Linked DNA regions of Rattus norvegicus. The protein of the gene in region 1 purifies or fractionates together with the protein of each later gene. This does not show direct contact. Links are inferred from orthologs where the notes say so. Each region holds a gene or a part of one and is shown in the gene's direction. Other genes may lie near its edges.

Region 1 (8,199 bases):
CTTCTCCCGCAGGACAAACCAAGCTTCGTGCGGGCTCGTGTGAAGAAGCTGCTGGCAGCGGGTGTGGTGTCAGCCATGACGTGTATGGTGAAGACGGAGAGCCCAGTGCTGACGAACTCCTGTAGGGAGCTACTCTCCAGGTAAGCCAGCCTGTGCCTCCTAACTCCTGCCTTGGCCTGCAGCTTGCCTCTTGGAGTGGGTGCTATGCTATGTGGGTTGGAGAGCACTCGACCGTCTTCCTTTGTTTGCTTAAGAATGAAATGCCTGTTTGCCAGAACCTTGGGCCATACCCATTCACCATGTCTCTTCCCTGCAGGGTCTTCCTGGCTTTGGTGGAAGAGGTGGAGGATCGAGGTACCGTGGTTGCCCAGGGAGGGGGCAAGGTAAGCTGGCTTCTGACTCCTTTCTGATCCTGAGCCATCCACCTATAAAGCATGACTCAGTGGCTCTGGCTTGGAGGACACTAATAGTGACCAGATGCTTCTGTGGACAGGCGCCCCAGAGTCCTTTGGGGCCATAAAGGTCCTGCGTTTGCCTCCTTTTCCCTCTTTGGCCCCGGGGCCCAGCACAACCCATGTTTAGTACCTAATAGGTGGTTGAGGAAGTGTGGGTGGTTTTAACGAGAGACCTCAGAATGAGGGAGAGTCTGAGCGGGAGTATTCTCAGGCCCATGGAAAGAATGAGAGGAAGGGTGCAGTCAGGATCGATGCTAGACTGGGCACTGACAGGGCTGGGGCTGTTTGATAGGCTCTGCTCCCGCTGGCCCTGGAGGGCACCGACGTCGGGCAGACGAAGGCAGCACAGGCTCTTGCTAAGCTCACCATCACCTCCAACCCAGAGATGACCTTTCCTGGTGAGCGGGTACGTGAATCCTTGCTCTGCCTGTGGCCCTCCTGTTCCTTCATTCTGCCCTGATGGCCCCCGTCCTGGTCTCCCTCTCATGACCAACAGGAAGTGGCGGTATTGCTGAGTCCTGGGGTAGAGGACAGTCACAGAGCCACTGTCTTGGGTGGGCTCCCTGCTGGGGGTCCCTGGAGTTGCATGAGCACTGATGTGTGGGGTTCTATCACAGATCTACGAAGTAGTCCGGCCCCTTGTCTCTCTGCTGCACCTCAGTTGCTCAGGACTGCAGAACTTTGAGGCCCTCATGGCCCTAACGAACCTGGCCGGGATCAGTGAGAGGCTTAGGTAAGGTCCTATGCAGCTTGGCACAGGGATTTGGGTGAGCCCCAGTTACTCACGCTGGAGTTTGGAAGACAGTTCCTGGTCATTCTGTGTGCCTCACAATGACTCCTCTGCCACATACAGAGGACACAGTCATGCCAGGGGTGGCAGGGTGAAGCGCTGGGGCCCTGACTCTGCCCACTACATCCTCCTCCTCTCCTCAGACTGCTGACACTCACTGGCTCACTCACCCTAAGAAAGTCTTTAAGTCATTCTGCCTCAGCTTCCACTCAGAGTTAGTTAGGTATCTAACTGTGGAGTAGTAGCATGGAGAGATGGCTGAGAAAATGCTTATAAAACCCTTCATCAGGCACAAGTGGTGGCTCATGCCAAGGGAGGAAGATTGGCTGTGAGTTCTAGGCCAGACTCCCCAACCTCTCCTGAAAGCCCTTAGTTCCTAGGTATCTGGCCCTGGCAGTAGTCACAGTGAATGTGTATTAGTTGTTAGTACTGTGACCTTGAACACATGACTCACCATGCGGCCCAGTTTCTGCTTTGGCTAAATAGAGACGGTAGCCACCACTATACATGGAGTAAGGTGAACATTAAGGAAGATAATTCAAGCCTGGGGCTATGATGAGCGTCAGGTGAAACAGTTCAGGCAGCTTGGGCAGGTTCAGAGCTCAGATGATTGATGTTTACCGAGCTATCTTCATAACCACCCTGCTTTGCTAAGTTCCAGGACGCTCAACACCCCCATGCTGTGTGTAGCCAGGCCAGAAGGCTAGAAAGCTCTGCAGTTCATAACCCACACAGGAAAGCCTGTGGGCACTGCTAGGGGAGCGCCTCAGCTCAGGGCACAGCCACCTGGGGTAGTGTGGTACAGGATGATATGGAGACTCTAGTCACGTGTGCCAACTTGTCCTGCAGACAGAAGATCCTGAAGGAGAAGGCCGTGCCCATGATTGAGGGCTACATGTTTGAGGAGCATGAGATGATCCGCCGGGCAGCTACAGAGTGCATGTGTAACTTAGCCATGAGCAAAGAGGTGAGGGTCGGTCCAGCTAGTCACCGTGACAGAGATGCCAGCGGCCCTGCACTTTGAGCACACTGTGGGCCGAGGTAGCAGGGTCCTCTCCCCGTCTGTTCGCAGGTACAGGATCTCTTCGAAGCCCAGGGCAACGACCGGTTGAAGCTGCTGGTGCTGTACAGCGGAGAAGATGATGAGCTTCTGCGGAGGGCTGCTGCCGGTGGCCTGGCCATGCTCACCTCCATGCGGCCCTCACTCTGCAGCCGTATCCCACAAGTGGTTAGTTGCCTGTTCTTGTGGGGGGCATGGAGGAGGGTGAGGGAACTAGCAGTTCCTCACATGGTAGCATCGCTCTTCTGTTGGGGAGCTCCCAGGGTACAGATGTGTTTTCTGCCAGAGTCGAGCCTGTTGCTAGGTCTTCACACCCACCATTCCCTACAGACCACGCACTGGCTGGAGATCCTGCAGGCCCTGCTTCTGAGCCCCAATCCGGAGCTGCAGCACCGGGGCACTGTCGTGGTGCTGAACATGATGGAGTCCTCGAAGGAGATCGCCAGCACCCTGATGGAGAGCGAGGTCCTGGAGATCCTGTCAGTGTTGGCCAAGGGCGAGGAGAGCCCAGTCACCAGGGCTGCTGCAGCCTGTCTGGAGAAAGCCGTGGAATATAGACTTATCCAACCCAACCAGGATGGGGAGTGAGGTTCTGCCCTGGACCCACAGCTCATGTGTCTGCTACCCATCACAGCTCTGAGAGTCAGGATAGAAGCAGCGTGGCCAACAGGACTGGGATGCTGGACACTGGCCTTCCTCCCCAGCTGCACTTTGGTGTTCTCTATCCTGGGGACACGCACCACACAGCCCTGCCCTGCCAGCACTCAGAAGGGCCCTGTCTGTACTGTAGAGAGCTGGGAATGGGGAGCACGCATCCCATTCAAGTCTGTGGATTATGGGCATCAAGAAGGAAGGGCACAGTAGCATCCTCACAAGCCGGGAGCATCACCAGAGCCTGCCAGCAGGCTAGTCCCTCTAATAAATCATGTGGAACTAAAGCTCAAGTTTGTTGTGTAGGCGGGGCTGCTGAGGGTGGGACGCTCTGGAGCTGCAGCCTAGTGTGCTTCCCCTGTAAGGAAAGGAAGCCAGTGGGCACATGGAGAATCTGTAGACAAGGCCTTAATATGGGTAAGTCAGGCTGGCTTCAAACTGACGATCCTTTCTCAGCCCTTAAGAGTAGTGCGGGGCTGGAGAGATGGCTCAGTGGTTAAGAGCACTGACTGCTCTTCCAGAGGACCTGAGTTCAAATCCCAGCAACCACATGGTGGCTCACAACCATCTGTATTGAGAGCTGATGCCCTCTTCTGGTGTGTCTGAAGACAGCTACAGTATACTCATATGAATAAAATAAATCTTAAAAAAAAAAAAAAGTAGGGGTTGGGGATTTAGCTCAGCGGTAGAGCGCTTGCCTAGCGAGCACAAGGCCCTGGGTTCGGTCCCCAGCTCCGAAAAAAAAGAAAAGGAAAAAAAAAAAAAGTAGTGGGAATTACAGTTGCCGTCACCCAGCCTGGGTTCTTTGTACGCCCTGGTGAGTTAGCCTGAAGCTTAGGAAACATATTTCAATGTGTTATGCTGACCCTTGGACACATTTATCATGATATTGTGAGTTTTCTGTGATCTCTACTAGGTCTGTGTTTGGGATTTGGGGTTGGTGTGCCCTTCTCTCGGGAAAAATATGTTTCTGTAGCTGTGTCTTACTGAAGGAGAAGCGCGGCCCAAATAGGATCTCTGGCTGAGAACGCCTGTCTCTTAGAGGGGTCCAAACTTGGGACTCATTGGCTCAGTAGAAGTAAATGACAGAGCCTGGGCCAATCAGTGAAGGCACTAATACTACCGCTTCCTGTCTGGATATCAGTCCTAAGCTTGTTCAGTAGGAACCGCCTCCTTCCTTGTTCAAAGGGAATGGAAGGAGTCAGGATTTGGTCTGTGCCCACCGTTCCCCTCGGATCTTCCTGAGTATTCAGTGGTTCCAACCGCGTCCACTGTCGGCGCCCATCGGAGACTTCGGCACACTGTCCGGAGCAGCCCGAATTGGCTTGGCAAAGGGCAGGTAATCCGGCGCATGTGTGCACGTCAGGCGGGCCCCGTGGTGACGTCATCGCTCGTGCCTGCGATTGGCTCAGAAAAGCTGCCGCATCCAATGACCGCTTTGCTTGGCGCGGGGGCCCTTTAAACACGTTCTGCCCCGCCGCCGGTCTGTTCGGAGCTGTGCGCTACTATGCGTTTGCCATTTCCAAGGTTTCCCGCTTAAAGGGCTTTCCTGATGAGTTGAGGGTACAAGGAAACGGGGAAGGTAAAAGATTCCCTTGGTTGGGGGATCCAGGAGCTGTGGTCTCAGGTCTGACTTAAGAGGCTTTAGAGTGTCTGTAAAATTCTGATCCAGTCCAATGAAGTGGCGTTGCATTTGGAACAGTGCGACTGTCTCCCTGGGGCCCATAGTCACTGAATTAAGCCAAAGGAAAGGCGCAACAGATTTCTTGAAAGAATAAACTATCAAGTAAGGTCCAGTGGAAATTTTCCAAATGCCTCTGAAACCCGGTAAGAGCCAATGGTCATTTTCGTCGTTAAATGCTACTGCATTTATTAAGCTAAGACTGTTGCCACTTTAATTTTGATTTGTATTTATTGCGAACAATTATGCCAAGTAGATACAAGCACTGCTGTTCCCACCCGCTTTGTAAAACGGAAGCTATGCAGTAGGATTTGGGTGCACAGGCACACACACAGGCCCCAGGTATTTATTCTGTCTGTTGGGATGAAGCTTATAAACCCACAGGACTTGACTCAGCTCTGTACTTGCTGTGTGACTTGGGGTTAAAGTTCCAGCTAGGGATCTGGAGCAGTGGGCTTCAGATCCTAGTGCTGCATCTGGTCTCCCACTTAAATACCTCACCGTTCCCTGCGGTAGGGGTAATAGGTTCTGGGTTGCAAAGAAAGAGACCACTGTTAAGGCCTAGGTGGAATGTTAGACCTAGGTAACTGTAACTTGGCTAGCCTGCCATTTAAGGAAACTTTCTCATAGGTTTCTGTTCTCAGGAAACTCTGTAAGGCTAAGGCTGACTATATGTTCTGTTCTGTGTCCTTGGAAACCAGTCACTTTAGAAGTCAGTAGAATTGCTTTGTGTAGTTAACCACAGTAAGCTTGGATCCAAAGCAACCACCAAGCAGAACTTCCTGCTCCTGTGTATAAGCTTTTATGGTATAAACTGCCCCTGGGCTAGACCCCAAGATAAGAGAGACACATGCGCCAATAAAAGAAACTATTTGGAATAAGACTTCTGAGTAGGGGTCAAGTAAAGTTTGAGTCCCAAGACCTCCCTGGGAACCGCCATCCTACTTTGCAGAAAGAAACATGTACGTGGGTAACTGACATCTTTCATGGCAAGTTAAGGCATAAATGTTAGACAAGTCCTGTCCTGGTAGACAAGTTAAGACATGAACATTAGACAAGGCAAGTCCCCTGACACAGTCGTATTCCCAGCCAATGGGAGCCAGGATAAGTGTGTAGCAAAGACGTGTTCCTGAGGACGTCCCCTATCCCTAAATTCTGTTTGGTGGAATAATTTGGCACAGATGTTTGTGGAATTTAGACTTAAAAACCCTGTAGAATCCTAACTTGGGGTCACAGTTCATTTGCTGAACGTGGACTGTGGCACTGGTTGGTCAGTCCTGGGGCAAATGCTCAATAAACTCTCCCTGTCTGGCAGAGATTGGTGTTCGTGTGGTTTGTGAGGCGACTCCAGGACCCAAACAAGCACTTACGCTGGGAAGAGCAGAAAACAGAGACAGGAACACACTTGGTTTTCCTCTTTCCCACCTGGCTGGGGTCTGACCTCTCAGTAGTATTCCTTGACTGGTCTTTCTGATGTTTTGAGACAAGGTCTCTTATTATGTAGCCCTGACTGTCTTATAACTTGCTCTGTAGACCAGGCTGGCCTCAAACTCACAGAAACCCACTTGCCTCTGCCTCCCAAGTGCTGGAATTAAAAGTGTGCACCACCACACCCTGCCCTAAATTGGGTAGTCTTGCAAGACTTAGTGCACAGGAAACGAAGGAGAAAAGAGGAAAGGGTCACTGGTCATGGGACTTTGAGAAAACAAAAGATTTACTGGTTTGTGTGTGTATGTGTGTAACATTTTCAAAATAGTCTTATGGGGTACAGGGAGATAAAGAAGATTGGTGTTGAAGTAGTGGCGCATGCCTTTGATCTCGGCACTCAGAAGGCAGAGATGGGGAAGTCTTCGTGAGTTTGAAGCCAGGCTGTTCTACATAGTGAGTTCCAGGACAGCAGGGACTTGCATAGAAAGACCTTGTCTCAAAATAAAAAGGGGATAGAGAAGCTCAGTGGTTAAGAGCACTGCTGTTCTTGCAGAAGACCTGGGTTCAATTCTAGCACCCATGTGATAGCTCATAACTCCAGTACCAGGGGATCTGATGCCCTCTTCTGCCCTTTAGTAACTCCAGACACAAACATGGTACACAGGCAAATGTGAAGGAAAAACATCTAAATATTTTATTATTTTATTTTATGTGCATGCTGTTTTGCCTGTGTGTATGTCTGTGTAAGGGTGTAGGAAGCCCTGGAACTGGTGTTACGGACAGGTGTGAACTGCCATGTGAGTGCTAGGAATTGAACTTGGATCCTCTGGGAGTGCAGCCAGGGCTCTTAACCATAGAGCCATCTCTCCAGCCCAAAATAATAATTATCTTTTTTTTTTATAATTATCTTTTTTTAATCACTTTAAAAAAAGGATTTGTTTTATATGTGTCTGACTACACTGTTGCTGTCTTCAGGCACACCAGAAGAGGGCATTGGGTCCCATTACAGATGGTTGTGAGCCACCATGTGGTTGCTGGGATTTGAACTCAGGACCTCTGGAAGAGCAGTCAGTGCTCTTATCCGCCCCGAATACAAGTTTTATAGTGTTTGACAGAAAAGACGCATACTTAATATTTCTTACAGTGGGATACTGGATTTGAGCCAAAAGTGGAAGAAAGAAGCAGTCAGCTGCAGACCGTTCAATAGTCGCAAATCCAGTAGGACCTTTGGCCAAAGCTCCTCTCAACAGACAATAGTGGGATGAACTCCCTTTGCCCCAGTGATTAAGATGGTAGCCAGTCTCTATTTTACAGATAACGCGGCTGCAGCCCCTTGAAGGCGAGATTCGCCAGTGTTCCTGAGGTGTCCTGTTCGTGAGACTCTCCTTGGGTTGTAGCCTTAATCTTGCACCCCAGCCAAGTGGCCGCCACCCACAGAGGCCTCAACCTGAACATGGCCGAGAAACGGCAAGGAGCCTGGTTCGGCTTTGGTTTCTGTGGCTTTGGGCAAGCGCTGGGCTCTGGGAACGGCCAACATGCAGTGCACAGTCCTGAACCACTGCATGCTGCTGACGATGTTTGCCAAGTGAGCGCAAGCTGGAGCTACACTGCCCTGGTGACTCGTGAGTACCCTTACAACCCCAACTCCGGGCCTGTCCCCTCTACCTGCCCAGCCCTTCTTAACTTGCCTGTCCAGAAATACCCTACACCCTTACTCTGGCAACCTTGAGCCCATGGCATGTGTCCCACCCCACTCTACCCACACAGGCGGAGGCCGGGTGGAACTGTCAGGCTCTGTGAGCTGTGCAGCAGACGGCTGCAGGGATGTGTGGGCGTCGGAGGGACTCCTGGTGGTGCAGCGCAACAAGAGTGGGTCCGGCACGGAACTGCAGGCCTGGGTACCAGGTTCCGCGCTACAGGGGGAGCCCCTTTGGGTCCAGAACTTAGCTTCTGGGGCAAAGGCCCAAGGGGAAGATGAACCCGGCAGTGAGCCTAGGATGGGGACGCTGCCGTTGCTGCCCTGCGCCCGTGCCTATATGACCCCACAGCCTCCCTTCTGCCAGCCTCTGGCCCCAGAGCTGCGGGTGCGCCAGCTGCAGCTGGGTGCGGAGCACGCGCTGCTGCTGTGCGAAGC
Region 2 (7,699 bases), on another chromosome or scaffold:
AGAGAAGATGAGAAATTTGATATTTGTACTGCTCAGTTAGTCTTGCGTGTGTTAAACTTGATTATGTTTGCACCAGAAGTACTGTCTCTTTTTTGACATTAAAACTTACCCTTTAGGATTAATCTTGTTTACTGGAAGCATAAATGTTTAAAACTGTGGACATGAAAATAGATCCTCAAGTTGAGCCTAGAAAATTCATGATATGAGTTAACTTGGTGATGTGTGTTCCCGGTGTAGCAGACCTTTCTATGCACTGCACGCTAAGCTTTGACTGTCATCACAGTCATCCCCCTGCTGCTCACTGACCACTGTGACCTTGTCCCATATAGGAGCTAGCCAAGGAGCCTTTGTATCATACTTGTTTAGTGGAAGCTTTTTGTACGCAAAAGCATCTCTTTCGTTACAGAACTTGCTTATATCTGATCTGGCATTCTAAGCAATACTTACTTTCCCCTGAGTGTCCACGTTTGGTTGTGACTGACTGCTAAGGCTGTGGTATAACTATAAAAGCGATTTTGCGAATGTCTAACTCACTGCCTCGTAAAGTTCAAACTTTCTTAAGCATAAAAGTTTATGGGAAATTGGGGCTTGGTTTTCACAGTGCATGTAATAGACATAGCTATAGGTTTTGATTGTTTGCCTCTCTTATTTTGATAGTTTCAGCCGACTTTTTAGCTCTTCAAGTAATGCAGCAAAGAAGCCCGAACCCCCTGTTAATCTGAAGTACAATGCCCCCACCTCTCACGTGACTCCCTCCGTGAAGAAAAGGAGCAGCACTTTATCTCAGCTCCCTGGTGACAAGTCCAAGGCGTTCGATTTCCTTAGTGAGGAGTGAGTATTCCGAACAGAGTGCTAGAACCGGTCACCCTTACTAACTCCTCAGTCGCTGAGAGAAGTCGACTGTTTGTAGCCAGGCATAAAGGCTTATGTTAATCCAGGACTCAGGGTGCTGATGCAGGAGATCATCACCAGTTCCTTGCCAGCCTGGTCTGTACAGACAGTTCAGGCTAGCATTGGCTACACACATAAACCTGTCTTAAGAACAAAGACTATTATTTTGCGTGTTGGGGTTATGGATAGAAGTGGAAAGAAGAAAAAAAAAGGATGGTTTCTATAGCGTGGATGGATGCTTTTAAGTAAATTACCTGTAGAGCTTAGTAATGTCATTCTAAACCTGTGGAAGCTGAGGCAGGAGGATTGTAATTTTGAGGCCATCCTGAGCCACAGGGATTTGGAGACTTTGCCCCAAAATGAGTGAATGAATGAGTGAATGAATGAATGACTTGTAGCCAGCATTTCTTGTGAAAATTGCACTTTAGGACTAGTGAACTGGTTGAGCAGGTAAGAGTGCTGCCAACCTTGGTGGACTGAGATCCATCCCGGGACCTGTGTGTCGGAAGGAGAATGCACTCTTCTGGCCTCTGAGGGCACCAGGCATGCACATAGTGCACAGACATCCATGCAGGCAAAACATTCCAAACACCTAAAGAAATAATTATATCTAAGTTTAAAAAATAATCATGAGAAATGGTGTAGAATCTAGGAGTTTAGCTTAATCACCTTCCATAACAGCTGGCATTAGAAAATTCTCAGTATTTTTTAAGAAAAGAGAGATCCCAAATTACCTCAGAAGTTTATGCTTTTAAATATAACATCTGAAACGTCATAAGTTTGATGACTAATAACTCAGTTTAATACAACATGCTGCTTATTCCCTGTTGAAGGCTGGTTTCACAAACATGGAAAAATCAGCTTTGGTATAATCCTCATGAGCGCGCGTGTGTGTGTGTGTGTGTGTGTGTGTGTGTGTGTGTGTGTGTGTGTATCTGTCTGTGTCTGTGTGTCCGTCTGTCTGTCTCTGCGTCTCGGGTACAAGGCTCCAGGGTGGAGTCAAGGATGACTCAAATGCTGGATTGTTGCATTCTCATAATTAAAACTGCAAATGTCTCCTTTTAGAACTGAGGCTAGCTTAGCCTCCCGCAGAGAGCAAAAGAGAGAGCAGTATCGGCAGGTGAAGGCTCATGTTCAGAAGGAAGATGGCCGAGTGCAAGCTTTCGGTTGGAGTCTGCCTCAGAAGTACAAGCAGGTACTTGGGGATGTGATGAGCGTGTCTAGCAGGAAGTGCACACTGAGAAGAGTGTGCTTGAAAACTGTGAACTAGAGGCAACATCCTAAATTCCTCATTGCGGCCTGCTTCGATATGTTTAGACAAATTTGGAGGATATGGTCTTTCAGGCTATTTTCTAGAGCCCTAGAATGTAGTAAACATGCCAACTCCTAAAGACTAAGCACTTTTGTTTACAAACATGCATTTACGTACACATGCATGATGGTGGTTTCTGCCTCCTGCGAGCTCTCGTGCTTACTGTCTGCAATTGCTGCTTGAGTTTTGCTTATTTTTCAAGTAAGAACGACAGAATCAGACTTGACTTGATTTCAGGAGCAAGCCTGTGACAGTAATGCTACTTATGTGTCTCAGTAGTTCTGTAATCTCAGTGTTAATGGGACTTACTGATGTGTCCCCCTTAGGTAGCCAATGGTCAAGGGGAAAATAAGATGAAAAATTTACCTGTGCCTGTCTATCTCAGACCACTAGACGAAAAAGATGCGTCTATGAAGGTAAGCTGTGACATTGAAGGAGGGACTCTCAAACTCCAGTAGATTTTCCACCCCTAAAAACTGTTTAAAACTGCCTTTGTAGTAGAACAAAGCTCATTTTAACACTTGGTCATTGTTTGTATTTTGAGACGAGTCACTATATAATCCAGGCTGATTATATCCCTTTTTCTTCCATGTTTTAGTCTTGAACCTCTTTAACTCTGCCTCACTCCCCCAAGTGCGTGTGCTACCACAGTTAACCAATAATATCAGAGTATACCGAAATACCCATGGTTCTACCTTTAGTTATCTTTAAAAGGTGAAAATTTTCTTACTACTTGTAGAGAAAAAAATGACATAATAACTCTCTCCCCGCCCCTGCCTCCGAGAAGCTGTGGTGTGCTGTAGGAGTCAACTTATCCGGCGGCAAGACAAGAGACGGCGGGTCTGTGGTTGGAGCAAGTGTGTTTTACAAGGACGTTTCTGCTCTGGAATCTGAAGGCAGTAAACAGCGGAGTGCGTCTCAGAGTAGTTTAGATAAGTTGGATCAAGAACTCAAGGTAAGAGCGTAATGACACGTGACTTCCTGATTTAGGAATGTAGAACTTGAGCTCTTAAATGCAAAACTTGTTTGAGGCAACCTGTAGTGGGGATTATTGTGCACTTAGTTTCCCCAGATGTCCCTTCAACATCGATGGTATTGAGGTATTACTTACATATACTCAAGTGACTACAATTCCACTGTGCCAACTGTGTATCACCACTACTGCAAAAAAGACAGCGTTTTTTTAATTGCCAACCTGCTAATTTAACTACTAAGTTTTAATCCAGAAATACTTGTAAACAATTGTATTTTGACCCTTCCAAATAATCTTGAAATAACTTAAAATAATACTTCGTTTTAGTATAAGAACAGTCTTAAGAATATTTGCACATTCATATAATTTTAAACATTTTCCTCTGCCTACTCAGGAACAGCAGAAAGAATTAAAAAATCAAGAAGAATTGTCCAGTCAAGTCTGGATCTGTACCAGCACCCATTCAACTACAAAGGTTATCATCATTGATGCTGTTCAACCTGGCAACATCCTAGATAGTTTCACTGTTTGCAATTCTCATGTTCTGTGCATTGCCAGTGTCCCAGGTAAAGCAAGACTCCCTCCCTCCCTGTGTTCCCTGCACCTCCTTTCAGGTGGATATGGGTGTGGAGTTGTGGAAGTTGATAAGAGTTGTGTTCCTGGGCTCGTGGTTACAGACTCTATGTTCTAGTAAGAGAGAATTTAAAATAAGATGGGAAGCCATTGAATAAAAATATTTTTAACTAGTTAAAAATAGTGTGACAAATATTTAAAAATGGCACTGAGTCTTGGTGGTGGTGGTGGTGGTGGTGGCACACACCTTTAATCCCAGCACTTAGGAGGCAGAGGCAGGTTCTCTGAGTTCAAAGCCAGCCTGGTCTACCAGAGCGAGTTCCAGGATATCCTGGAACCCTGTCTTGAAAACAAATGGCAACATGTGAGGGTGGCTAATTGATAGAGAATGAGGCGCCCCCTAGATGAATTAGTACAGGAAGGCTGCCAAAGTTCTGAAATGGGTGTGTAAATTTATAACAGTGGTTCAGAAAGATTAGTCAGCCATAAAAGAAATTACACTCTTTTTTCCTGTTATTAAATAATTGTGGTTGAAACACTTTTTTCCGCCTTGAGACAAAGTCAGCCTGAACTATATAGTGAGATTGTGTCTCCAAAAGAAAACAAAAAGTCTAAGCTGACAACTTTTATATATAAAAAAAAAAAAAAAAAAAAGGAACTGCTTTAAAATGTCAAAGCTGGGTGGTGGTGGCACATTTAATCCAGAACTTGGAGGGCAGGGGCAGGTGAACCTCTGAGGCCACCCTGGGCTATAGCTCTTTCAGGCCAGGGCCACATAAAGAAAACCTTGTCTAAAAAAAAAAAAAACAGGAAGCGCAAGGCCCTGGGTTCAGTCCCCAGCTCCGGGAAAAAAAACCAAAAAAAAAACAAAAAAAACAAACAAACAAACAAAAAAAACAAAAACAAAAACATTAAATAAAGTAATATTTTTAAAGTGATAAAAATGGTTTTCCATTGTAAATGCTTAAATGTTTTTATGTCTCACTAGTATTTTAAGCCACGTATGTCTTTTAGTGATAGTACATAATAGAAGCCCATCTTAGTAATAATAGCAGTGGTAGTCTTAATAAGTTAAATACTTGGTTTGTTTTGTTCTTTTCTGTTTGTTTTGTTTGATTTTTGACACAGGGTTTCTCCGTGTAGCCCTGGCTGTCTGTTCTGAAACTCACTAGATAGACCAGGTTGGCCTTGAACCCACAGAGACCTGCCTGCTTCTGCCTCCAAGTACTAGGATTAAAGGTGTATGCCGCCCCTCATCCAGCTAAAAATAAGTTTAATGTATTTTTATTTTCTGTGTGTGAGTTTTTGCCTGTATGTATAGTGTGTGCATGTCTGCTGTCTGTGGAAGCCAAAGAAGGCATCAGATCCCCGGGAACTGAGGTTACAGACAGTTGTGAGTTGCCATATGGATTCTGGGAATTGAACCATGGTCCTCTCTGCAAGTGCTTCCATTAACCCATCTCTCTAGAACCCTCCCCCGCAAAGTTTTAAAGAAGAGTTTTGTTGCATTTTACTTAGTTTTGTGTGATAGTGGAAATGACATCATACCACAGGCGTTAGTTCTCTCCTTCCACGTAGCTCCTGGGGATCAAGTTCAAGGCCGTCAGGCCTGGCAGCAGGCACCTCTATCTGCTGAGCCATCTCACCAGCCCCCGTCCCCTGTTCCTGACTTGATATTAGATATTACTTGTCTTTAACTTCATAGAGCAAAGGTCACATTGTTTATCTCAGAGTGTGCTCTGTTCAATTTCTAGTTAGTATGAAAATTAGAAAGTTCATGTAGATAAGATCCAAGACAGTATTCCCAGGTCTTTGTTGAATACAGTGACCTACCTAAGAACTTGCTCTTGTCAAGGGGTAATGCCAGGACTAACATTGGCTCTCCTAAAAGGTATATCTATCTTGATCTTATTTGGGTCTGAGTAAATACTGTTGAAACTTGAGCTACTGATATTGCCTCTAAAATTAGATCCTTTTAGATTTAACCTATTACTACTTTGGAAAAAAAGTTAACCAATGTTATCTTGTCATTCAAACTTGATATTTCTTGTTATAATTTTAACCTTTGCCCAAATATGAAAACTACCCAGTGAACTTGGGGAGTTTCAGTAGAAAACTAGAAGGCATATGAGTTATTGGTAGGTGTTCCATTTAAGTATTGAAGTGGAAGGTCAGGTGTGGTAGCATATGCCTGTCATCCCATCCCTTCTGAAACAGAGGCAGATCAACAGTTGAAGGTCAGCCTGACCCTATAGAGCAGAACATTGTCTCAACCCCTTACCCAAAAGGATAAAAACCTGATGAAAGTATAAGTTAATGGGTGTGTTTAATAGGGTTCACTTGGATCAGTCTGTTGTTGTGTTCGTAGGGAGTAAAATCAGGTATTACACTGAATGTGATGCATAACTGACATTAATTTTTGGCCCCGTTTGTTGGCTGGTTATAGTGTATATTGGTTATTTGACCACTGATCAGTTTTCTTCTTTACTTACTGTATAAATGGTTGTTAATTCCTGAAATGGGACCCTGTTCAGTCTTTAAACTTTTTTTTTAAGATTTATTTATTTATTTATTTATTTATTTATTTATTTATTTATTTATTTTATGTATGTGAGTACACTGTGGCTGTCATCACACACACCAGAAGAGGGCATCAGATCCCATTACAGATGGTTGTGAGGCACCATGTGGTTGCTGGGAATTGAACTCAGGACCTCTGGAAGAGCAGTCAGTGCTCTTAACCACTGAGCCATCTCTCCAGCCTCCTCTTTAAACGTTTTAATTGTTTTTATTGTTTATGTGTGTGGTGTGTGAGGAGGCCGCGTATGCCATGGCACATGGATGGGGTCAGAGTACTGTGTGAGTTGATTCTCTCCTCCACCTTAAGTTCCAGGGTGCAGACTTGGGGCCCCGGGCTGGTTCAGCAGGTGCTTTGCCGGCTGAGCATCTCACTGTCACCTTTTCTGTTTTGTATGTTATGGCTTAGCCAGGTGTGATGGACACCTGTAATCTCTGCTTTTGGGAGGTGGAGACAGGAGGACCAAGACCTTTAAGGTCAGCTTTGACTATATACAGTTCAAGTCCAACATGGACCAAGGGAGACCTTGTCTCCAAAAATCACACACCCATGTTGTTATCGAACATTAATAGATCCATATTATAAATACCTTTAAATGTTTAAATAATTTGTTATTGTGTGTGGAAGTGTACACATGCCACATTCATGTACAGAAACCAGAGGAAAACTTTGCAAGTTGGTTCTTTGTTCCCACTGTGGGTTATAAGGACCAAACTCAAATCATCAAGTTTGTGCAGTAAATATGTTTTTACCTCCTGAGCCATGCTGCTGCCGGCTAGAGGTATTACCTTTAACCTGTTTTTCATTAGAATATGAATTAATAGAAATATGATTTTTACCTCTAAATTTTTCATTTTATCAAGATTTCTTTAACTCTGCATTATTGATGGTATTCTAGTAGCTGTATGGTTCACCCATATACTCTCACTTCAAACTAGAGTAGCTTTAATAGAAAGAAGCTTCTGCTTGTTTACTGGGTATTCAAAAAAAGGTTTTTTGTGTTTTGTGTTTTGTGTTTTGTTTTCAGGGGCTCGAGAGACAGACTACCCTGCAGGAGAAGAGCTTTCTGACTCTGGTCAGGTAGACAGAGCGTCTCTGTGTGGGAGCATGACCAGTAACAGCTCTGCAGAGATGGACAGCTTGCTGGGAGGCATCACAGTGGTCGGGTGCTCCACAGAAGGAGTGACGGGAGCTGCTGCTTCCCCAAGTACCAATGGTGCTTCTCCGGTGATTGAAAAGCCACCAGGTACACCTTTGAGAGTCTGAGGCTCTTTTGAGAGTCCACATTACAGATTGTCAGTCTTAAAGTAGCCGAGGTGAAAGGGCTGGAAGAAGATGCGTGCCAACCATGTTAGAGAGAGAGCTGTCCGTG
Region 3 (7,699 bases), about 46 Mb from region 1:
GCCAGCCACTTTGCCTTTCTGTGACCATTCTTCTGAAGTCCCAAGTCCTTCCAAATCTGATGCTAGCTCAAAACGATCTTTTTAATGCTATACGGCCCATCTTGATGATCCAGGATAATCTCCCATTCTCAGTCACATTAGGTAACATAATTACCATTCCGTGTTGGGACATGGCCATCCGTAGGGACTGTCATCTGTCGGGCAGCACAGACTAACGGATGTAAGAAGCACCAGCTGCAGTCTGCTAACTGGCTAAGTGTGCTTATTTTTGGCTTGGGCCATTTCCATGTGGCTTGTCCAGGCTCAGTTGCCTTCCAACAATCCCCCTTTCCATGTGGCAGCTTCCTGCCACCTAGAACTTTAAATCCTTGGAGCCTGAGAACCGCCCACTTCCACCTTTAGGAAACCTGTGGGAGGTGTGGCCAGGCATTAGTCACTGCATTCAGTCCTATAGCACTTTGTTCTGCCCCAGTAAATTACAGCAGAAGCTTGTCTGACTGAGCCAGGAAAAAGGTAAAGGCTGTCTTTTCTGCCTGCAGGTGGTGACACACACTTTTAATACCAGTACCTGTGAGGCAGATGCTAGCAGAACTCGAGTTCGAGGCCAGCATGGTTTACATAGTGAATTCCAGGATGGCCAGGGATACACAGAGAGACCCTGTCTCAAAGAAAAATACATAAAGGGTATTTTTTTCCTTTTGATTTTTACCCCAAGCCAGGGATGAAGCCCAGGGGTAAAACACAGAAGAACAAGAGTTGTCTGACTACATCTGGCACCCACTCCTTTATAAATAAAGCTTTAATGGAACACTGCCACCCCTATTTGTTTATTCTGGTTCCTGATTGGCAGAGTAGTGGCAACGGAGACTGTGTGGCCAACAAAGCCTAACGTTTCATATTTGGCCATCTGCATTCTCTGCCAAACACAGGATGGTCTCGTCACTCAACAGCACGGGAGGCAGAGGATGTGTCCTGCCCTATCTGGTGTTGCTGTAAGACTGTCGCACACATACTGGGAGAGGAATAAAGAAAGGGAGCTCCTCGGCTCAATTCTGATGGCTGCAGAGTCCCAACAGCTTGGTACAGACATCTAGTGAGGGCCACCTAGCTGTGTCACCACATGGTAGAGAAGTGGCGGGCGGGGGGGGGGGGGCAGGACAAGGGGGGGCACATGCAAGGACCCAACATAAGGGTGAACCTCACTTTATAACAACCAGCCTTGTAGGAACTAGCCCACTCCTGTAAGATGGGCCTTGAGCCCTCCCACAGTGGTGCCCTTCTAATGACCTAATCACTTCCCTGGCCCCATCTTTTAAATGGCCTTCCTCAGGCCCAAACTCCCTGCCCGTGAACCTTGATGGATAAATCCCATGCAGCATAGCAAATGCCACAGCTGTTAGGATAGAGCTAAGAAGATAGAGCAGGGCACAAAGCCATCGTCTGTAAGCTGCAGATCTGTTAGTGTTGGTGTAGCGATGTCTTAGTTAGGATTTTATTGCTGTGAACAGACACCATGATCAATGCAAATTTTATAAAGGACAACATTTAACTGGGGCTGGCTTACAGTTCAGAGGTTTAGCCCACTGTCTTAGTTAGGGTTTTACTGCTGTGAAAAGACACCATGACCAAGGCAACTCTTATAAGAACAACATTTAACTGGGGCTGGTTTACAGGTTCAGAGGTTCAGTCCATTATCATCAAGGCAGGAGCATGGCAGCGACCAGGCAGGCATGGTGCAGGAGGAGCTGAGTTCTATATCTTCACCTGAAGGAAGTCAGGAACAGACTCCACATCCTAGGAGGTGCTCGGAGGAGGGTCTCCAAGCCCACCCTACAATGACACATCTCCAACAAGGCCACACCTTCTAATAGTGCCACTCTCTGGGCCAAGCATATCAAACCATCATCACATTCCACTCCCTGGGCCAAGCATATGCAAACCATCACAAATGATGTTGTCCACACAATACTCAGGCCAAGCCACCAGACTACCAGAGCTGAGCATGGTCTTTCTGCTTAGGCTTTTGTGTTTGTTTCCCGTTTCTGTAACAAATACCTGGGATAAATTATAAAGAAAGGTTAGCTGGGCGATGCTAACACATGCCTTCAATCCCAGCATTTGACGGGGCAGAGGCAGGCAGATAAAAGGAAAAGGAGAAGAAGAAAAGGGAGGGAGGAAGGAAGGAAGGAAGATTTGTGTTGGCTCATGATTTTAGAATATCAGCAGGTTGCATGGCCCTGGTGCTCTAGACCTGTGACAGCTTGGTACATCATTGTGGGAGCACAAGGCAGAGGAGGTCTCTTTACCTAATGGTGACCAAGAAACTCAAGGCTGGGGTCCTAATGTGTCCAACTGTAAGGCCGTGTCTCCATGACCTTAGTTTCTTCCCCTAGGTTCTAATTCATACTTAGGCTATGCCACCCTAAGTACCATGATAGGCTGGGAACTAAGCCTTCAACACATGGACCTTTGGGGACATAAAAAACAGAGCACTTCCTTCTGCACCTGTGGCTTTAGGCTCTAGGGAAACCAAAGCGGATGTGCCCCAACCCAGCCTTGGAGAGGCAGCTCACACACGTGCTTGTGACAAGTGCTATAGAAGAACCCAAGGGCTGTAGACACAAACCCTGAGGAGAATTTCCTCAGACTTCACATAGATCATTCAGGATGGGCCTGAAAGGCTGGACAGGAGTTTGCCAGGCAGAGGAAGTATGTTGGATTCATTCTAGATAAAGAAAGGACTCATCTCTATGAAAAGATATCCATCCAGAGTCCACTTAGAGCCGGGCATTGTACAAGGCCCTGAAGTAGAGCAGTGACCCCAAAGGAAGGCCCTGCACCAGCGAGGCAGCAGTAGCAAAGACCTTGTTGAAGTGCACTGGTGTGAGCTACGGGGCTGTATGTGGGCTCTGATTCCTGTCCTGTTCCTCTCAGGGGCTGATCATGTCAGAGGACACTACAGAGCCCCTAGTGGGGCCCAGCATCCTCTGGAAGGACCTCAGGGTGCTCCTGCCAGACACAGAGGAGGAGCTGAAGCTGGATCTCAGTGAGAAGGTGGACAGGAGCGTGGCTACGCTGCTACGGCAGGCTTTGGGTCTGTTCTATGAAGGCCGTTGGCAGAAGTGCCTGCAGGCCAGTGAGGCTGTCCTGGACTACTCCTGGGAAAAGCTCAACACTGGTCCCTGGCGAGATGTAGACAAGGAATGGCGCCGGGTATATTCCTTCGGCTGCCTCCTGAAGACCCTGTGCCTGTGCCAGGCACCACAGAAGGCCACTGCTGTGGCTGAAGCACTGCGGGTGTGTGACATGGGCCTGTTGATGGGGGCAGCCATCCTTGGGGACATTCTTCTCAAAGTTGCTACAGTCCTCCAGACACATCTGCTCCCTAGAAAGCAGCCTGCCTGTGGCCCTCACCAGGATCAGCCTGCTACCAAGGTGGGTCACTATTGAAAGCTGAACCATCCGGCAGCCCAACCCATCTTCTAGAAGAATCCAGTCCAATCCCAGGACAGTGTCAGACAGGTAGCCTCTCTGCCAAAAGAGCATCATGTGGATTTGGGGAATTAGCAGCTGCAAAGGCAGTGCCCTTTTTAGAGGGGGAGGTGGCAGCTTTCTTAATCTAAAAAAAGTGCTCTGAAGGAAATTCAGCATGCCTTCTCATCACCTAGTCTTGGAGAGATACCCAGCGTGTTCTGTCCCTCCAGTCCTCATGGAGGTTGGCCATGGTGTTTAAGTGTCTCATAGTTCCTTCCAAGCCTAGAGCACAGCTTACCCCGAAGGCTGCAGACACATAGTCCTTACCAAGCTTCCACTGGGTGAGCCAGAGACCATTTCCTTTGGGCCTCAGTGTCCTCATCTGTAGGTTGTCAGATAAATCCTGAGCCTCAGAGAGGAAGGGCTGGGGCTGTGATGGGTGCCAGCTATGGCATTCTGGACTGTTTGACATGTATTTCTCAGTGCTTTCCTGCAGTTTTAGAATGTCCTGTTGGGTGTGACTTATGAGTAAGATAGATGTCATTAGCACTCACTCTTCAGGACTGTTGTCACCACAGTGCTCTAAGACTGTGACATGGTCAGGAAAAGGGACCTTGAGTTCATGAAAACAAACGGTATAGAAACGTTATCTACTACTGGGTGTGGTGGGCACTCTGGAATCTGAGGCGGGGGATTCTGGGTTCAAGGTCATTCCAGGCTTCCTACTGAGACCCTGTCTCAAAAACATAAAACACAGCTCCATGTAGCGGTGAGCACCCTTACCCTGTGCACGTGGGCGGCAGAGGCAGGTGATGTCTGTGAGGTTGAGGCCTGCTAGACAAGTTGAGACCCTATCTCAAAGCAAGACGAAGCACAGGACTGAGAAGATGCTTCAGACAAGAGCCGGTCACACACGTAGGAGCACTGGAGTTTGATCCCTAGGACAATGTAAAAACTTGGCATGGTGGCATGTTCTTGTCAAACCATAGCTGGGCAAGTGGAGTCAGGGGGACCCCAAGGCCTTGCTACCCAGCCAGCCTCACTTGAATCAGTGAGCCCCAGGCCAGGGGGAAAACCCCATTTCAGTAAGGAGGATGTGCATGGTACAGAGGAACAGCCAAGGTCCATCCTCTGCCACACATATGTGCACACAAATAACTGCCATCTGCTGTTAACGCTACCCAAGACATCCTGCCACTAACGCAGATTTCAGACAGTCGCCATCTTGCTTTGTTTATATTCTGAACAGAAGGCAAAGCATGATGCCAGCTCAACTCCTGATGTGGTATTAGATCGGGAAGTGCCCAGGCTTCGCTGCCCACCTCTGCAGCACTTCAAGAAGCATTTTCTAGTTCCTGGGAGACCTGTGATCTTGGAAGGTGTGGCTGACCACTGGCCGTGCATGAAGAAGTGGAGGTGAGTAGCCACTGTGGGGACCTGAGGTCCTTCCTCCTGAGTGTCCCCAGGACTCCTCAAAGGTCTCTTTTGGCCACTCATACATCACTGCCCCAGACCTTCAAAACCCCTTGATTGATTACAGAGGATTAATGAAGACTTTAAAGTGGGATACCCTAGGGCTCGCAAGATGGCTAAAAAAACCTAGTGGCCTGAGTTTAAATCCCAATCCCAGGACCCACACAGGTAGAAGGAGAGAACCACAAAATTGTCTTCTGGCCTCCACATATGACACAGTGGCATGTCTAACTTCCTGCACATGGAATAATAGTTTTTAAATTAACAAAACATTTAACGGGCCATCCTAAGTGTGTGCAGTGGTCTAAGCTGTCACTGACGTACACTTACCCTGAGCATATCCTTGCAAGCGCCTGAGTAACAGGCTCAGAGAGCTGTTAGGTGCTCATGCAAGATCTCAGAGATCCTACTGCTCTTCCTTCTCTGGGCCTGAGGCCATGACTGCAATCACCTAGGAGTGGCTCCCACTAGGATTCAGAATGAGGCCACACTAATGTTTCCTGTAAGGATTGGAGAATCCAGACATTTCGCCTTCCACAGGAGTCATGTAAAAGTACCCTGAGTGCCCTGAGACAACTGTAGCTGACAGGAGTGGGTGGAGTCAGGTCGGCCTGCTGTGAGTTTGTGGAGGAAGTAGCCCCTGCTCCAGTGAGGAAGAATTCTGTGAGAGCCACAGCAGAACAGTCATGCTCCAAATGGGGGCAGGTTCTGGCATCACCTCCTTTAACAGATGGGGAACAGGGTCTCGGGAAAGGTAACTCACTGAAGGGTCTCCTACTCACCCAGGCTATCAGAGTTCAGAGTCTGCATTCATCACCTCCCCATCCCATACTGCCTTCCACTCATCCCAAGGTTTCTCAGCAGTGACAGAGGAAAGTGAGGAGTCAGCAGGATTGTGGATGGCAGAGGTGGTAAGGAGAGTCCGTGTGGTCTCAGGCATGCAGCCTCACCTCTGTATTGTGAGAACAGTCGGGAGAGCAAAGGCAACAGTCGTCTCCACCTCATGAGGTTTTGCATGAAGAGAACAAAGGAAACCATTCCTAGATGTCCTAGATGCATGCTGACACTATGGTGACATTTTTTGTAGTCTACAGTACATCCAGGAGATTGCTGGCTGCCGCACTGTCCCCGTGGAAGTGGGTTCAAGATACACAGATGAAGACTGGTCCCAGACTCTCATGACAGTCAATGAGTTCATCCACAAATACATTCTGAGCGAGGTATATGCAAGTCACTGTATAACAGATGCTCAGTGTGGCTGAACTTAAGGCACGCCATGTTCACCTCAGCACGGTTTTTAAAACAGCTTCCAATGAAAAGCAGCAGCACTTGTCTGTGCGCTACTCCTGCAAGAAGCTGCAGGGGCTGGTGGCCCACTCAGAACAGAGATGCTTCCTAGGCCCTAAGTCTCCTGCCCTTCAGCTCTGTCCTGCCTGGGAGGTCACTGACCACATCAGACCCCAGGGTGGGGAAGGGGCCACACGGGACAGTGGTGGGTGGGGCCAGGGCCAAGACTCAGCATCCAGCTAAGCAACAGGGCCATCAAGAGACGCTTGACACAAACTAACTGATGGTCACCTCTGTTTTTCTCCTCTGGGTCAGGCAAAGGATGTCGGGTACCTTGCTCAACACCAGCTGTTCGACCAGGTGAGTCTGGGACCATGTTCCTGCCCTGCTCCTCTGCTCCCAGGAAACACACACGGCTATCTTCTGGTGCTACGCTTTGGAGCAAGGGTCTCACTGATTATCACAGGTAGCAGTGTGAGGCAAACGGAACTGCCAGGCTTGAGAGATTGAGTATGCTGAGGCTGGGGGCCCAGTTTGGATCCTCAGGATGACCTGTCAAAGACTTAACAGTGCACCTTGGCTGAGCTGGAGTGGGATTGGGTGGGAGAGTATTCCCGTTAAGAAACATCCCAGCCCCAAAGCTTTAGGAAATTGTGGAGACCACCAGCTGGGAGGTTATACTCCGAGTGGGAGAGCCAGGTGTTAGAGGCCTAAAAGGCCAGACAGGATTCTGGATTTAATCTGGAAATGATGGGTTCGGTGAGGCTCCTGATGAGCAACAAGATCCCCAGCAGTGTTACAAATAAATGCATGTTTTCTGGACAGAGCAGGTACTGCTGCCCAGAGCACCCTTAGGGGCAGATTACCTGCCCCTCCTGGTGTTCACCCACTGCCACCCAACACATCATCAGCGGGTATGACCATCACTGTGGGAAAACAGACTATGCATTGGCAGCTACACTGCCTTTCCATTGTGAGCTGCCTGTACCTGGGTGTGGTGCACACACCTTGAATCTAAGCACTTAGAGGCTGAGCTGCATAAGGAGTCCTTCCAAGCTGGCTGGTTAAGATACAGAGGCTGTGGCAGAGGCCCATCCTGACCCAGGCTAGAAGGCAAAGCTGCTGTTATCTTTAGGGTGAGGCAGAACAGTGTACAGCTATCCCCAGGCAGATTGGCTGCCCCTCCGCACTCATCTTCCCCTGCTGTTCTGAGCACCTCAAAGAGGCGTTTGAGCAGCCATGTGTCCTGGAGACAGGGCACGGCTGTTTCTAGGACCTCTGTGCCTATAGACACAGCTTGGGCTATTGACAAGCACTTGCCAGGAACCCTGCACCAACTTTCCTCCCAATGCAGTGTCTCAGAAGCCTCTGGCCACTGCCTTGGACTTGTCAATAATCATATCCGTGGAGCACGTGTTTTCTGATATCTAGCCAACCAATCACCCTTCAGAATTCCCAATGACAT

The links. The genes of interacting proteins can lie anywhere in the genome.
Region 2: the proteins of Rccd1 (region 1) and Spag9 purify together in Homo sapiens (affinity purification with mass spectrometry; 3 studies listed by BioGRID and IntAct, counting the BioPlex papers as one, with this or other methods). This does not show direct contact. The link is inferred for Rattus norvegicus from reciprocal best matches to the Homo sapiens genes RCCD1 and SPAG9.
Region 3: the proteins of Rccd1 (region 1) and Kdm8 purify together in Homo sapiens (co-immunoprecipitation; 3 studies listed by BioGRID and IntAct, counting the BioPlex papers as one, with this or other methods). This does not show direct contact. The link is inferred for Rattus norvegicus from reciprocal best matches to the Homo sapiens genes RCCD1 and KDM8.

What each region holds. Positions count from the first base shown.
Region 1 is NC_086019.1:143,686,227-143,694,425, reverse strand, and holds the start of Rccd1 (RCC1 domain-containing protein 1), read left to right. Parts: upstream 1-3,608; 5' UTR 3,609-4,295; intron 4,296-4,308; exon of another isoform or gene 4,309-4,783; intron 4,784-7,379; 5' UTR 7,380-7,518; coding exon 7,519-7,687; intron 7,688-7,832; coding exon 7,833-8,199. Other genes in the region: Unc45a (protein unc-45 homolog A), read left to right, coding at 13-140, 317-383, 748-861, 1,073-1,188, 2,095-2,212, 2,318-2,473, 2,636-2,893. UniProt on the Homo sapiens protein: Plays a role in transcriptional repression of satellite repeats, possibly by regulating H3K36 methylation levels in centromeric regions together with KDM8.
Region 2 is NC_086028.1:79,538,724-79,546,422, forward strand, and holds part of Spag9 (C-Jun-amino-terminal kinase-interacting protein 4), read left to right. Parts: intron 1-657; coding exon 658-831; intron 832-1,956; coding exon 1,957-2,086; intron 2,087-2,529; coding exon 2,530-2,619; intron 2,620-2,990; coding exon 2,991-3,158; intron 3,159-3,570; coding exon 3,571-3,742; intron 3,743-7,354; coding exon 7,355-7,573; intron 7,574-7,699. UniProt on the Homo sapiens protein: The JNK-interacting protein (JIP) group of scaffold proteins selectively mediates JNK signaling by aggregating specific components of the MAPK cascade to form a functional JNK signaling module.
Region 3 is NC_086019.1:189,448,378-189,456,076, forward strand, and holds part of Kdm8 (bifunctional peptidase and arginyl-hydroxylase JMJD5), read left to right. Parts: intron 1-2,934; 5' UTR 2,935-2,943; coding exon 2,944-3,435; intron 3,436-4,723; coding exon 4,724-4,890; intron 4,891-6,034; coding exon 6,035-6,167; intron 6,168-6,549; coding exon 6,550-6,594; intron 6,595-7,699. UniProt on the Homo sapiens protein: Bifunctional enzyme that acts both as an endopeptidase and 2-oxoglutarate-dependent monooxygenase.